Anolis sagrei: one gene and its partner. The protein of the gene in region 1 purifies or fractionates together with the protein of each later gene. This does not show direct contact. Links are inferred from orthologs where the notes say so. Each region holds a gene or a part of one and is shown on either strand. Other genes may lie near its edges. The genes, in order: RPL13A and RPL7L1.

Evidence for each region.
Region 2: the proteins of RPL13A (region 1) and RPL7L1 purify together in Homo sapiens (affinity purification with mass spectrometry; 3 studies listed by BioGRID and IntAct, with this or other methods). This does not show direct contact. The link is inferred for Anolis sagrei from reciprocal best matches to the Homo sapiens genes RPL13A and RPL7L1.

What each region holds. Positions count from the first base shown.
Region 1 is NC_090026.1:21,586,764-21,594,672, reverse strand, and holds the start of RPL13A (large ribosomal subunit protein uL13), read left to right. Parts: upstream 1-4,728; 5' UTR 4,729-4,819; coding exon 4,820-4,834; intron 4,835-7,909. Other genes in the region: trans-1,2-dihydrobenzene-1,2-diol dehydrogenase-like, read left to right, coding at 32-182, 881-990. UniProt on the Homo sapiens protein: Associated with ribosomes but is not required for canonical ribosome function and has extra-ribosomal functions.
Region 2 is NC_090025.1:35,698,751-35,706,048, forward strand, and holds the start of RPL7L1 (ribosomal protein uL30-like), read left to right. Parts: upstream 1-4,035; 5' UTR 4,036-4,109; coding exon 4,110-4,123; intron 4,124-6,802; coding exon 6,803-6,911; intron 6,912-7,298.

The DNA of each region.
Region 1 (7,909 bases):
GAATAATAATAACAATAAATTTAATATCCAGATTCCAGGTTATTTCTGGTGCCCACAGAAGTTGGTCATCAATGGGCAGAAGGAAGAGTTTCCCCTTCCTGCTCCATCCCAAAAACTGAACTTTCCTAGCGGCACAGGTCTACGATATGAGGCAGAGCATGTCAGGCAATGTATTCTGAAAGGTAAGAGCCCAAACTGTAACCATGGGTGCATCTACACTGTAGAATTAATGTGGTTTGATATTCAATTGCCATGGCTCAATATTATGGAATTAAGGGATTTGTAGTCTGCTGATGCACCAATGCTCTTTGGTAAAGAAGGCTAAAAGGTTGAGAAAGATGGTATATAAATATGGTTAATAATAATAATAATAATAAGAAGAAGAAGAAGAAGAAGAAGAAGAATCTTGTAAAACTTCAACATAGCATTGAGTCATGGCAGTTAAAATGTTTTTAAACTGTATTATTTCTACAGTATTTATCAGGTATGCAAACTTCAGCCTTCCAGGTGTTTTGGACTTCAACTTCCACAATACCTAACAGTCTACCGGGATTTGCAGTTTGGTGAGGCACCAGCAGTCATTGGCAGGGAAGGCTGGTTCTCAACCTGGGGTACCCAGATGTTTTTGGCCTTCAACTCCCAGAAATCCTAACAGCTTGTAAACTGGCTAGGATTTCTGGGAGTTGTAGGCCAAAAACATCTGGGGAACCACTGGAAGACTATAAAACTACAACTCCCATGATGCTATAGCAGTTAAAGCTGTATCAAACTGTTTTTATTCTTCAGTGTATGTAGATTCATCCCAATTGTGTTGTGCAGATGGATGTAGAAAAAGCAGACAGCTTGACCTTTTCTTGTTTCTTTCTTTTACTTTTCTTAGGCTTGAAGGAGAGCCCTGTCATGTCTCACGCAGACAGTGAACTTATTCATTCCATCTTGGATGAAGCCCGCAGGCAGCTGGGAGTATCCTATCCTCAGGACCATGCCTGACCCATACTGTAGTTTGCTCTCTATGTATATGATAAAAGAAACATTACTATGTTATCCCTAGATAATTCCCAATACTGTGAACATAAGGGTCAACCAGTCAAGTTGCAAGAGTTGGTTACACAGTTTGGAATTTGCAGATAAGTTCCAAGAAGCTTGCTGTTTGTTATACAGGGTTAGTCAAAATGCATAGGCCAATAAGCCATTCAATTGAATGGCTTATTGGCCTATGCATTTTGACTAACCCTGTATATTGTATTTCTTCAATTCTAAGCCACAATCCACCATATAGACATCCCAAAAGCAGGGTGTGACTTACATTAAAAGTGAGATAGATAGAAAGCTTTTTTTCCTATTAGTGGTACTGAAATTAGTATCGTTTTACAATTGATGGCAATTCAGAATTGAAGAAATATAGAAATTTCCACTGTCAGACAGCAAACTGTAAAATAAAGCTAATGTTGCCTTCCTCTCACAATTTGTTGTGTTTTTATGGAGTGTTTTACACCTTTTTCTCACACTTGTGTTTGAACCGGAGACTTTTATGATTGAGTGACTGAATATTAAAGACAATTGGGTGTTCCGACACTAGGTGTATGCAGTGGTTCTTAACTTGTGGGTTCCCAGATGCTTTGGCCTTCAACGCCATGAAATCCTAACAGCTGGTAAACTGGTTGGGATTTCTGGGAGTTGTAGGTCAAAACATCTGGGAACCCAATGAAGGATCACCGATGTAGGGTCACTCCAAATGCACAAGTTTAGGAGTCCCCTCAACGGCCCAATGTAGCCAGGCGAGGAGGAAGCCATAAGTTAGATTCTTTCTACAAAGGCTTTATTGCGTGGCCATAGCAATAACGACAAACGTGCATACAGGAATGCAACCAAAGGTTTTGTCACAACCTCCAACGGGACTGCCGAGTTTTTGTCATTTTTGGCAGTAAATTGAATACACATTCTCATTGTTTTCCAAAGACAAATCATTTCATTGGTCTAAGCTAGCTCATTGGTTCTTTATGATTTTGACTGACATGATAGCACACGTGGGACCTTAAAAAGTCTGTCGTCCCTTCAATGGTGTAGCAAAGTTATTATCACTTTAACAGAAAATTAAAAGCACATTCTCACTGGTGTACAAAGATCAATTATTCCATTGGTCTAAGCTGGCTAATACAGATTTTCATTAGCCCTCTATCTCAAAAAAGCAGTACAATAGCACAATTATGCTTTCATGCCTCTGACCCTGACTGTCTATCTTATCTACTTTTCTGTTTCAAACATAGACTTCAAGCACTGAGAGAAATTAGGGAGTGTTAGCTAACACCAGCACTGCTCCAGTGAATTCATCCTTGAGCATAATTCACCTCCCTATGGCAGTTCTCTCACTTTTACAGACAAAGGCCTCTATGAATCAGGACATATGGGACTTACAATCATTGGAGGCATTTATGAAAATTCTATTTAAAACTACGCCTCCCTCACTGGGATTTGTAGTTTGGTGAGGCACCAGCAGTCATTCGCAAGGAAGGCTAAAGACCTTGTAAAACTACAACTCCCATTGCGCTATACCAGGGATTCTCAAACTTTTTAAACAGAGGGCCGGTCACTGTCCCTCAAACTGTTGGAGGGCCAGATTATAATTTGAAAAAAGCATGACTGAATTCCTACGCACACTGCACATATCGTATTTGTAGTGCAAAAAATGCTTTAAAACAATTCAATAACTAAAATGAAAAACAATTTTAACAAATATAAACTTACTAGTGTTTCAGTGGGAAGTGTGGGCCTGATTTTGGCAGATGAGATTGTTGTTGTTGTTGTTGTGTGCTTTCAAGTCCTTTCAGACTTAGGTTGACCCTGAGGGAGGGCCGGGTAAATGACCTTGGAAGGCCTTATCCAGCCCACGGGCCTTAGTTTGATGACCCCTGTCCTATACCATAGCAGTTAGTTTATTTATGACATTTATATGCTTTCCTTCTCACCAAAGGGACTCAGAGTGGCTTACAAGATATATATACATACAATATATTATATTATTAGCATAGTACAATATCAGTATTAAATATATGGAGCCTCTGGTGTCGCAGTGGGTTAAACCCCCCCCCCCCTTTTTTTGTCATGTTAGGAGTGACTTGAGAAACTGCAAGTCGCTGGTGTGAGAGAATTGGCCGTCTGCAAGGACGTTTCCCAGGGGATGCCCGGATGATTTGATGTTTTTATCATCCTTGTGGGAGGCTTCTCTCATGTCCCCGCATGAGGAGCTGGAGCTGATAGAGGGAGCTTACCCGCCTCTCCTTGGATTTGAACCTGCAACCTGTCAGTCTTCAGTCTTGCCGGCACAGGGGTTTAACCCACTGCGCCACCGACAGGTCTCAGGTTCGAATCTGGGGAGAGTGCAGATGAGCTCCCTCTCTTAGCTCTAGCTTCTCATGAGGGGACATGAGAGAAGCCTCCCACAAGGATGGTAAAACATCAAAAACATCCGGACGTCCCCTGGGCAATGTCCTTGCAGATGGCCAATCCTCTCACACCAGAAGTGACTTTCAGTTTCTCAGGTCGCTCCTGACATGACAAAAAAAAAAAGCATAGTACAATATCAGTATTAAATATTACTATGATGGCACAACCGGGAAGATTAAGGGAAAACTATATGTGTCTGGCTATTTTCCCAGTGACCATCGGTATGCCCTATATGTATTTTAATTCCCCCAAAATAAAACTCTAGAGACAAGACTAAAATTAACCAATTAAGTTTACTGAATAATCAGGGTGAATAAAAACAAGGTATAAAGGTGCAGTTTGATTCTTGATGGTAAAGACAACAGGAGACTATGAAGTATAATGATGCTCTGAGATAACAACTATATTCTCTATGACAAATACAGATGAATTCTTTATAACATATACTATAGACTCTAAGGCAAATACTATAATCTTTGAGGCATGTATTATCTAATCTATATGGCAAATACGTGCTAAGGATGGCCTGTTCAGACTGCTAAGCCAGACCAGACAACAAGCCAAATATATTGTTCTATGCCATTATATTGTAATATTATTAATATTACATGTAATATAAATATATAATTATAATATCATATTTTATTAGTATTATATTGCATTACATTATTATATTATAAATATAATATGTATATACAATATTATTATTTAGTAAAATTATATACAGTTAAAGCTGTTTTTATTCTATAGTGTAGAATAGATGAAGGCAAGCTTCGTCCTTCCAGGTGTCCGACCGGCTGCTAGGAATTTTGAGGGCTGAAGTTCAAAATACCTGGAGGGTTGAAATTGGCCCATGCCTGGTCTACACTGCCAATATAATGCGGTTGCAAACTGCACGTGTTGATAGGGATATAGCTTATTTATTTATTTGTCGTGTCAGGACAACCAGTCAAATTATATTACATTTCTAACAGAACAAAGCAAACAAACAAACAGACAAAATACAAAATGTGTGAGTTTGGTAGTTGATTAAATGTCCTTTGACCAGTATCTGGCCACTTGATATTGTCCAGGGATATAGCTAAAGCAGTAGTTTGGTCCTGGAAGCTTTTGGACTTCAGCTCCCATAATTCTAAGCAGTTGAGTCAGTCAGCTAGTGCTTCTGGGAGTTGAAGTCCTCAAGGTTGGGCAGTTCTGTCTAGTAGCTAGGCCTCAACCCTGGCTGTTAAGGAGAAGGAAAACTTTAGGGGACGCCCTTGGTGACGTCATTTCCGCACCTGCGCATTTCGAGTCCCGCCCTGAAGCGGCAGAGAGGGTAACCCCGTAGCCGGCGGTGGGCGGAGCCTCTTTCCCGTGCGGCCGCCGAGGAGCAGCCATGACGGAGCCGAAGGTGCGGAGCTTCTCTAAGGCCTCGGTGGCTTTTTTTCCTTGGGTCGGCGGGAGGAGGGCGGCGAAAGAAGGCCGAGGGGCTCGCTTGATGCCTCCTGAGGCCTTGGTGGCGGGGAAAGGGGAGAAAAAAAAGGCCAATTCCCCATTTGTGAGGCCTCAGCCAGGACTAGGCCTCAGGCGCGAGAGTGCAAGAAGAGTGTCCCATAGAAATGTGCACACCTTATAACAGCTCACAGTCGCTCTGGTGAATATTTTAAGGCCTAAGCAATCCCAACTGTATTGAAGAACGAATCTTACAGTAATTATTTCATCAGATGTACAAGTTCCATCTTAAATTAGGATTTTAGTCCATTTCTTTATATATATATTCCAAATAATTTGGATTAAACATTTACTAGGAAAGTGGGAAATGGGACAAGGGAAGGAAAAGGAAAAAAATGTGAATAATAATTAGTTATTGGTTAGTACCATCCTTAAAAATGTCTAATATATAACCATATATATATATTCCAAATAATTTTGATTAAACATTTACTAGGAAAGTGGGAAATGGGACAAGGGAAGGAAAAGGAAAAATGTGTGAATAATGATTAGTTATTGGTTAGTAGCATCTTTACAAATGTCTAATATATAACCATATATATATATTCCAAATAATTTTGATTAAACATTTACTAGGAAAGTGGGAAATGGGACAAGGGAAGGAAAAGGAAAAAAATGTGAATAATAATTAGTTATTGGTTAGTAGCATCCTTTAAAATGTCTAATATAATGGTTCTTTACCTTCCTAATGCTGTGACCCCTTAATACAGTTCCTCATGTTGTGGTGACCCCCCAACCTTAAAGTTATTTTCATTGCTACTTCACAACTGTAATTTTGCAACTGTTATGAATTGTAATGTAAATATCTGATATGCAGGATGTATTTTCATTTGCTGCACCAAATTTGGCACAAAGACCCGATACACCCAAATTAGAAAACTGGTGGGATTGGAGGGGATTGATTCCATCATTTGGGAGTTGTAGTTGTTGGGATTTATACTTCATCTGCAAACAAAAAGCATTCTGAACTCCACCAATGATAGAATTGAACCAAACATGGCACAGAACTCCCATGACCAACAGAAAATACTGGAAAGGTTTGGTGGGCATTGACCTTGAGTTTTGGAGTTGTAGTTCATCTATGTCCCTAGAGCACTGTGGAATCAAAACAATGATGGATCTGGACCAAACTTGGCATGAAAATCAGTATGTCCAAATGTGGACTCTGGTGGAGTTTAGGGAAAATAGACTTGATATTTGGGAGTTGTAGTTGATGGGATTTATAGTTCACCTACAATCAAAGAGCATTCTGAACCCCACCAAGGTTAGAATTGGGCCAAACTTCCCACACAGAACTCCCCATGACCAACAGAAAATAGTGTTTTCTGGTGGTCTGGCGACTCCTCTGACACCCCCTCACGACCCCTCCAGGGGTCCCAACCCCCAGGTTGAGAAACACTGGTCTAATATATGGTGAGGTGAAAACACAAGGTGAGAGTAGTTGAGGTATGGGGAAAAAAATCATCATTGTTGCCGTTAAGGCTTCATTTCTATTTCTTTAACACATATTTGGTAAAATATTGAGGATTCTAACCATGTTAATTTTAAGTTCCATTGATCGTATCTCCTGTCTTCTCACATTGTCTCCTGGTCTTCATATATTCTTTTCCAGTTTTCCTTCAGTGAAAGTTTATCTTAATTTTTCATAATGGTTTATTTATTTATTTACTGCATCTTTACTCTGCTTCATCTCAACCCTGAAGGGGACTCAGAGCAGCTTCCAGATTGGCAATATTCAATGCCACATGAAACATAAAACATACAAATACAAATTGCAATATACATTAAAATTTCTATTTCTTTAACACATATTTGATAAAATATTGAGGATTCTAACCATGTTAATTTTAAGCTCCATTGATCGTATCTTCGGTCTTCTCACATTGTCTCCTGGTCTTCATATATTCTTTTCCAGTTTTTCTTCAATGAAAGTTTATCTTAATTTTTCATAATGGGTTATTTATTTATTTACTGCATCTTTACCCTGCTCCATCTCAACCCTGAACAAGACTCAGAGTGGCTTCCAGATTGGCAATATTCAATGCCACATGAAACATAAAACATTCAAATACAAATTGCAATATACATTAAAATCATAAAAAGTCATAAAAACAATGGCATATAAATACATTACATATACTGTTAAACATTGCACATAGACCTGAATTCTTAGTCCAAGAACCATTCCAAATTGCATTACATTCCATTCACTTCATAGCTGCATGTTGACCCTACTTCCCAAATGCTTTCACATTAAACCTTTTCTTAAAACATTTGTTGTCAATATCTACAAAATTGTACAGTTGCTAGTAGATTAGTGTTTATATCATTTTAGCAGTATCATGCTGTCTCAGTATTTCGTCCAATATATTTTCCATCTACAACTCTTGAATTTAAAAACTTCTGATTTAACCATAATCACTCGACAAAGCAAGTAGATAGGACATAGGTATACACTATAGGACCCACAATATGAACAGCTGAACTTTATTTATGTATATATATAGGGGGGGGGGTTGATATAAAAGAAGGCTAGGAACAAAATCTTGAGAAAGAAGTTTGAGAGATCTGGCCTCCAGGAGCTATCAGGAAAGTTCTTAAAAATAAATATTAAGAACTGTCCCTGAAGGCTAGATCTCTCCATCTTCTCCTTCTCAAGGTTTTGTTCCCACTAGCCTGTCTAGCCTACATTTATACTAATCTGTCTCTTTATGTATACATAAATAAAATTCAGCTGTTCATATTGTTGGCCCTGTAGTGTATACCAAATACTTGCTTTGTTGAAGCGCAGACTTACACATTTCAGTTTTTTAAAATTTCATGATACATCTCTGCTGTTGGAAGTTTCAGTTCTGTTAAAAGTGCATACATTTTTGGGTCAAAGACAAATTATAAAATCATTAAAGATTGTACAAAGCGGCTGAAAGCCACAAAGGTGCCTGATGTTTTTACAACTTTTTGAAATTACTTTGGA
Region 2 (7,298 bases), on another chromosome or scaffold:
ACAGAGCTACTGGTTTTTGCTGATTTTGGCTGGTTTTGTGATCTCTGTCCACTTGTTCCATTCTTTTTGAAGGCTTGCAGCAATTTGTTGGATATGTACTAAGGTTCTTCCTAAGGTGTTTTAAGAAGCAAATGCTTGGGTTATGGTTTGCTGTTTTGGTTCTATTGTGCAAATTTTCCCTTCTCTGAATATTCGTGTATGTGTGTGTGTGTGCGCGCGCATATGTGTGTGTATGTGGCGGGGCATCCAGTCAGACCCAAAACATGGGACCTGTTTTGGTCTCCAAGACAACAGGAAACAAGCTTGCCCCCTTCTCAATGTGCCTCCTTTCAAATATCTAAGTTTATCATGTCTCCGCTCAATCATATTTTCTCCAGGTTAAACATACCAAGCCCCCCCAAGTCTTTGATCATTTAGGTCTCCTTTCTCTGGACACATTGCAGCTTGTCAATATCCCTCTTGAATTGTGGTTCCCAGAACAGGACACAGTATTCGAGGTGAGACCAACCAAAGAAGAATAGTGGGATTATGACTTTCCTCGATCTCGACACTATACTCTCATTGATTCAGTAGATCAGATAGTAGATACTACAAATAAACACTGCAAATAGTTTGTGCCTGCTTATGTTCATGAGAAGAAACAGAGAGGGATATGCAAATAGTTTGCTAATTCAACTTTATTTGATCTCTATAGATCCATGAGAAGAATGCCTGGCCAATGTATTGCATGCAAGGAATTGGGGAAAAAACTGACGGTTTCAATTTTTCCCCAAAGAAATACACTCACCCTCAATATTATGTGGTGAATGACAAGTCTAAATCCTTGTTTATTAAAAAGTGTTGAATTTATGGTGTGTTGAGCTTATATAACACTGCAGCTGTGGGAGATCAGTTGCAGCTTCAGAGTATTTTCTGGCAAGAGCAAAAAAGTACTGCCTTTAAGCTATCCAAAGAGTTGCTCTGTCTTAATCCAAAGAAACAAAAAAGTATGACCATTTTTGGAGAAAGAGACAAACGCCAGATGTATGGGATTGATTCTAAGGAAGAAATGCTTCCAACTCTTACCTGGAAATAAACTCAATTGAATATAGTGAGGCCTACTTTTGAGTAAATCACTACCAAATAAGAATGCAGGGCAACAAAAAAGTTACTCATTTATCGAGAGTAAAGATAATTTAACCCTATAGGATTTATTTCCAAGTATAACTGTATAGGATTGCACTGTAAGAACTGATTAATTAGAGGAAAGGTGTTTTTAGGTGTTGTCTATACAGGTGTACTATTTCGTAAACTCTGCCTTGTTATATTTTATATACACAACTGTCTAAAAGCTTTTGATTCATAGATGGGTCATAATATCTATATTTGTATTATATTACGCGACCACTTTCTCTAAGAATAAAGCAATTTTATGGCAAATCTCTTATATCCTTTGAATCAATGGAAACTGGCATTAGTTTTTATTATTTATAGTGTCAAAAGTGAATAGAGGGTACAGTTATAATGTATTTAACAGAACACAAAGAAATACTAGATTTTCTTTGACCAGACACTGGCCACTTGGAGTGCCTCTGATGTCGCTGTAAGGAGGTCCTCCATTGTGTATGTGGCAGGGCTCAGACTGCATTGCAGTAAGTTTTTTTTGTTGTTGTTGTTGTGTCAGGAGCGATTTGAGAAACTGCAAGTCGCTTCTGGTATGAGAGAATTGGCCGTCTGCAAGGACGTTGCCCAGGGGATGCCCAGATGATTTGATGTTTTTATCATCCTTGTGGGAGGCTTCTCTCATGTCCCCGCATGAGGAGCTGGAGTTGAAAGAGGGAGCTCATCTGCCTCTCCCCGGGTTTGAACCTGTGACCTGTCGGTCTTCAGTCCTGCTGGCACAGAGGTTTAACCCATTGCGCCACCGGGGACAGTAAGTGGTCTGTGGATTGCTCTTCTTCACACTTGCATGCCGTGGACCATTTCTTAAGGTTAGCTCTGCATCTCATGGTGCCAGAGTGCAGTCTGTTCAACACCTTCCAAGTTGCCCATCCTTCAGTGCGGCCAAGTGCGGCTGTGGATTGAGGTTCTGAGTTTTAACCTGCCACTTTTGGATTCTCGCTTGCTGAGCTGTGTCTGCGAGTATCTCTGTATATTTTAGAAAGCTATTTCCTGCTTTAAGGCATTGGCATGCTGGCTGATATCTGAACAGGGGATGGGCTGAAGATGTCACTACCTTGGTCCTTTCACTATTCTTGGCAGATATCAGGTGGTGCAATACCGGCTAAACAGTATAATTTCTCCAGTGGTGTAGGGCACCCTGTGATAATGTGGCATGTCTCATTAAGAGCCACATCCACTGTTTTAATGTGGTGAGATGTGTTCCACACTGAGCATGCATATTCAGCAGCATAGTAACAAAGCATAAGGTTAGATGTATTCACTCTATCTGGTTGTGATCCCCAGGTTGTGGGGGAATCTCAAATAAATAAATAAATAAATAAGGTTGAAGTCCCAAAAGTAACTTTTTAGATCTTGCATATATAATAGCAGTAATAAAGGGGTGATTAGTGGATCTAATTGTACTAAAGATAACAGATGTGTTCTGACCTTGTAAATTAAGAAGGTTAGGACTAGCCTAAGAAATTTATTTATTTATTTATTTACTTTATTTGTATACCGCTCTTCTCAGCCCTTAGGCGAAAGTCTTGTAAAGAACATTTTTAAGACTATGTAGTGTTTTAGATATTTTAAAAGAGTTTTAATGGTTAAAAGTACCTATTTTAATAGTTCCATGTTTAATTCTATTTTAGTATTTATATGTTGTAGGTTTGAAATGGTACATTGAATTGTATTTTAGCATTCATGGGGCTGCAAGAGGTGACGTAAATGCTTACACACACTTTAGTATTCTGTTTAAATTCAATGTATTATTTATGATAAGAGTCTTAAGGGTGCAAACTGAAAAATCTCAAATTCAGATCTTTTCACTCAATTGATTTAATGTGCCTAGTTTTAGTCTAATTATAACATTTTTCCATGGCAAAATAATTTCAGTCAGGCATACAACTGCAACTGAAATTGTTTTGCATTCTCAACGACTGGGAACTTAATGTATGAATATATATATATATATTTCACTCCATAAGGTCGGGTTTTAGGTTGGAATAAATAAAATACAATTTGAAAAAATATACATAATTAAAAAATTAGATTAAAAGCATATGAAACAATTTAATTCACAGACATCCTACTATCCGTTATTAAATTAACTTAGGCAAGTTACATGCTGGGTGGAATCTACACTGTAGAATTAATGCAGTTTGACACCACTTTAACTACCACTTTATATCTGAGATTTGCAGTTTATCCTACTCTCCCAAATAGTACTAGTTCCTCACGAAAACTACAACTCCCAGGATTCTATAGCATTGAGCCATGGCATTTTACTTGCAATATTGGGCATGTTTGCTTTTGCTCCTCCTTTTTGAGGCTACACTGTGCAATGAATGCAGTTTCACTCCGCACTTAAAGTGGAGTGAAACTGCATTAATTGCACAGTGTAGCCCCAAAAAGGAGGAGCAAAAGCAAACATGCCCAATATTGCAAGTAAAATGCCATGCTAGATTTATATCATGGTCACCAATAGCTGGGAATGATTTGACAGCACTCAACCACAAAATGATACAAAATGTCATTCAAAGTAATGTGATTTTCAAAGTAACCAGAGTTTAGAAAAAAGGCTGTAAGCTTAAAAGCATTGATAAATCATGATATTATTTTCCCTTAATGAAATAACATGGGTTTGGAAAAGCAGGAAGCCCTTGGTATTGAATAAACACCCCACTGCTTTATCTTAGTTAGAGCTTAGCATTTGATTTTCATAACTTTTGGGGCTTAGTCTCATTTCTAATTGAGAAATGTTGAAAGCAAACCCGAAAGTTTCTCCTCCGTTCGTTCTGTCTTAACTTTCTATGTCTATGCAAGACATAAAGGGGAAGGCGCTCGAGAACCCTACCAATAAGGTTGCAAAACGCATGCAAATTGATGTAAGCATTCTTTTCCCTTCTGCGCATGCTCGGCAGTGTGCGCATGCGTAGTAACCTGGTAAACCCAGGTGGAGAGGAAACATGGCGGCGCTTGAGTGAGTTTCACGGGGAGGAAAGGGGGAGGAAGGGAATCTGCGTCCATCCTCAGGGAAGGAGGGCTTTGGACACATTGAAATAATAGATCTGTGTCTAGAATGGCTTCATCTTTGTTTAATTCGGTTTCATCGGTGTAAACAAGAGTTTTGTTGCTTCTCGGGGCCGCTCTGTTTATATGTGTTGACAATCTGAGAATTTTATAGTTGTATAAAAGAATGTGGAAGAATTGAAAGGGAAATTTGGGGTGTCATATATCTCCTACATTGGGGAGGGAGAACTATATTAATACTAGCCGTCCCCTGTCCTTTAGGGATACCTTTCAAATCTATGATACTATATCTCTCTCTCTGTGTGAATCATATATATCTATATCTGGATGGCTCTCTGTCAGGAGGGCTTTGATTATGTTTCTTTGCCCTGGTGAAGGGAGTTGGACAGGATGGCCTTAAGTATTTTCTGTTGATCATGGGGGTTCTTTGTGGGAAGTTTCATCCAATTCTGTCATTGGTGGGGTTCAGAATGCTTTTTGATTGTAGGTGAACTATAAATCCCAGTAACTACAACTCCCAAATGTCAAGGTCTATTTCACCCAAACTCCATGTGTGTGCATATTTGGGCATATGGAATATTCGTGCCAAGTTTGGTCCAGATCCATCATTGTTTGAGTCCACAGTGCTCTCTGGATGTAGGTGAACTACAACTCCCAAACTCAAGGTCAATGGCCACCAAACTCTTCTAGTGTTTTCTGTTGGTCATGGGAGTCCTGTGTGCCACATGTGATTCAATTCAATCATTGGTGGAGTTCAGAATGCTCTTTGAGTGTAGGTTAACTGTAATTCCCAACAACTACAACTCCCAAATGACAAAATCTTTTTTTTTATTGGCGTGATAGGTGTATTGTGTCCAAATTTGCTGTCAATTCGGCCAGTAGTTTTTGAGTTATGTTAATCCTACAAACGAACATTACATTTTTATTTATATAGCTGTGGAAGAACTGAAAGGGAAATTTAGGGTGTCATATATCTCCTATGTTGGGGGAAAAACTATATTATATTACTTTCCTAGTTCCAACAGACCTCACTACCTCTGAGGATGCTTGCCATAGATGCAGGCGAAACGTCAGGAGAGAATGCCTCTAGATCATGGTCATATAGCCCGAAAAAACATACAACAACACAGTTATTCAGGCCATGAAAGCCTTCGACAATATATTATATTAATATTATATTAATTTATATCCACCTTCGAGACTCAAAGCCCCTCACATCTTAAATATCCCAAACCCCAAATCATTGTATTTAAATACCAATTAACTGTGTTGAACTAGCATCATATGTAAGGAGCAATGTAATAAATTTGTGTTAATTGCTAGTGCTTGGTTTTGAGAGCATTATGCACTTAATCCAGATTTGATCAGACTCTTTAAATCTGGATTATATGGCAGTGTGGACTCATATAATCCAGTTCAAATCAGATAATCTGGGGCTCTTTACACACAGCTGAATAAAATCCCAAACTATCTGGTTTGAACAGGTATATATGGCAGTGTGGACTCAGATATTCCAGTTCAAAGCAGATATTGTGGGTTATTCCGCCTTGGTATTCTGGATTATATGGCTGTGTGGAAGGGCTCTGGATTATCTACTTATCAATCTGGATTATATGTCAGTGCACAAAGGTCTCAAATCCATTGAAATCTATGATTAAGCACAACTGACTCGAGGTCCTGTGGATTTCAGTGTGAGAGTCTGGAGCAGGATGTACACTGCCATATAATACAGTCTGGATCTGCATTATATGGTCAGTGCAGATTCAAATAATGCAGTTCAGTAGGTCCAGCGAGTATATATATCAGTGGTTCCCAACCTTTGGGCTTCCATGGGCCCTTCCACGCAGACCTGTATCCCAGAATATCAAGGCAAAAAATCCCACATTATCTGCTTTGAACTGGGATATCTGAGTCCACACTCAGATAATGTGGGATTTTCTGCCTTGATATTCTGGGATATAAGGTTGTGTGGAAGGGCCCCCAGTGTTTTGAACTTCAGCTGCCACAGTTCCTAACAGCTGGTGAGCTGGCTGGGATTTCTAGGAGTTGAAGTCCAAAACACCTGGAGGCCCAAAGGTTAGGAACCACTACTCTATATAATGGAGACCAGTGGTTCTCAACCTGGGGTCCCAGATGTCTTTGGCCTACAACTCCCAGAAATCCAAGCCAGTTTACCAGCTGTTAGGATTTCTGGGAGTTGAAGGCTAAAAACATCTGGGGACCCCAGGTTGAGAACCAAGGATGTAGATTCAAACTGCTTTATATGCAGTGTGGATATAGACTGCTGTGTCCATATAGTTGAAAATGCTGCTTTAATGTTTGCTCTTTAACAGAAGCATTTTATATAAGCGAACAATCCAGTTAACTTGAGAATTCTTAGATGACTTTAGAAAGCACTTCTGAGACAAGTAAAATTGATTTATATTAATATTATAATCATTGTGTTTATATCCTGCTTTTCCCCTCAGAACCTTGCGTCAGGATGTAAATACAGCATAGGAAATACATGCAATTGACTTTCATTGAAATGTAATTAAGCATGGGAGGGGGTTGGACAGATGCCCTCTTCCAGCTCTCTGCTTCTGCATTAGATATATTATGTTGTAAACCCTTGTCTCTGTATGTTTAGGCCACCCAGGAAGATCCCTTTGGTGCCAGAAAACCTACTGAAGAAAAGGAAGGCCTATCAGGCAATCAAGGCCACCCAGGCAAAGCAGGCCTTGGAGGACAAGAGAAAGGTAGGGGAGATACAATATAAGACCAGAATATACTTTGCTGTACTTATGTTCTATGAAGACTGAAAGCATTAGTTGTTTTAAGGGAAATCATTTCACTATAGCATTGTAAACAATGGGACGCGCATTCATGGATTTTCTGTTCTGGAACCAAATCCCAGCAGATACCAATTGTCCTCTGTAGTAACTTTCCACATATATTTATTTTCATTTAATTTAGTACAATGTACTAAATTAATTGAAAATAAATATAGATGGAAAATTATTTCTTTAAATAAAGAACCAGATATAGATGAAAATGAGGTTTAGCAAGAAATAGCTGGGAAAGTAAATAAATAATAGTATATGTGTCTTAATGCTTAAGGGAGGCACATGTTTTCTTATTTTGGA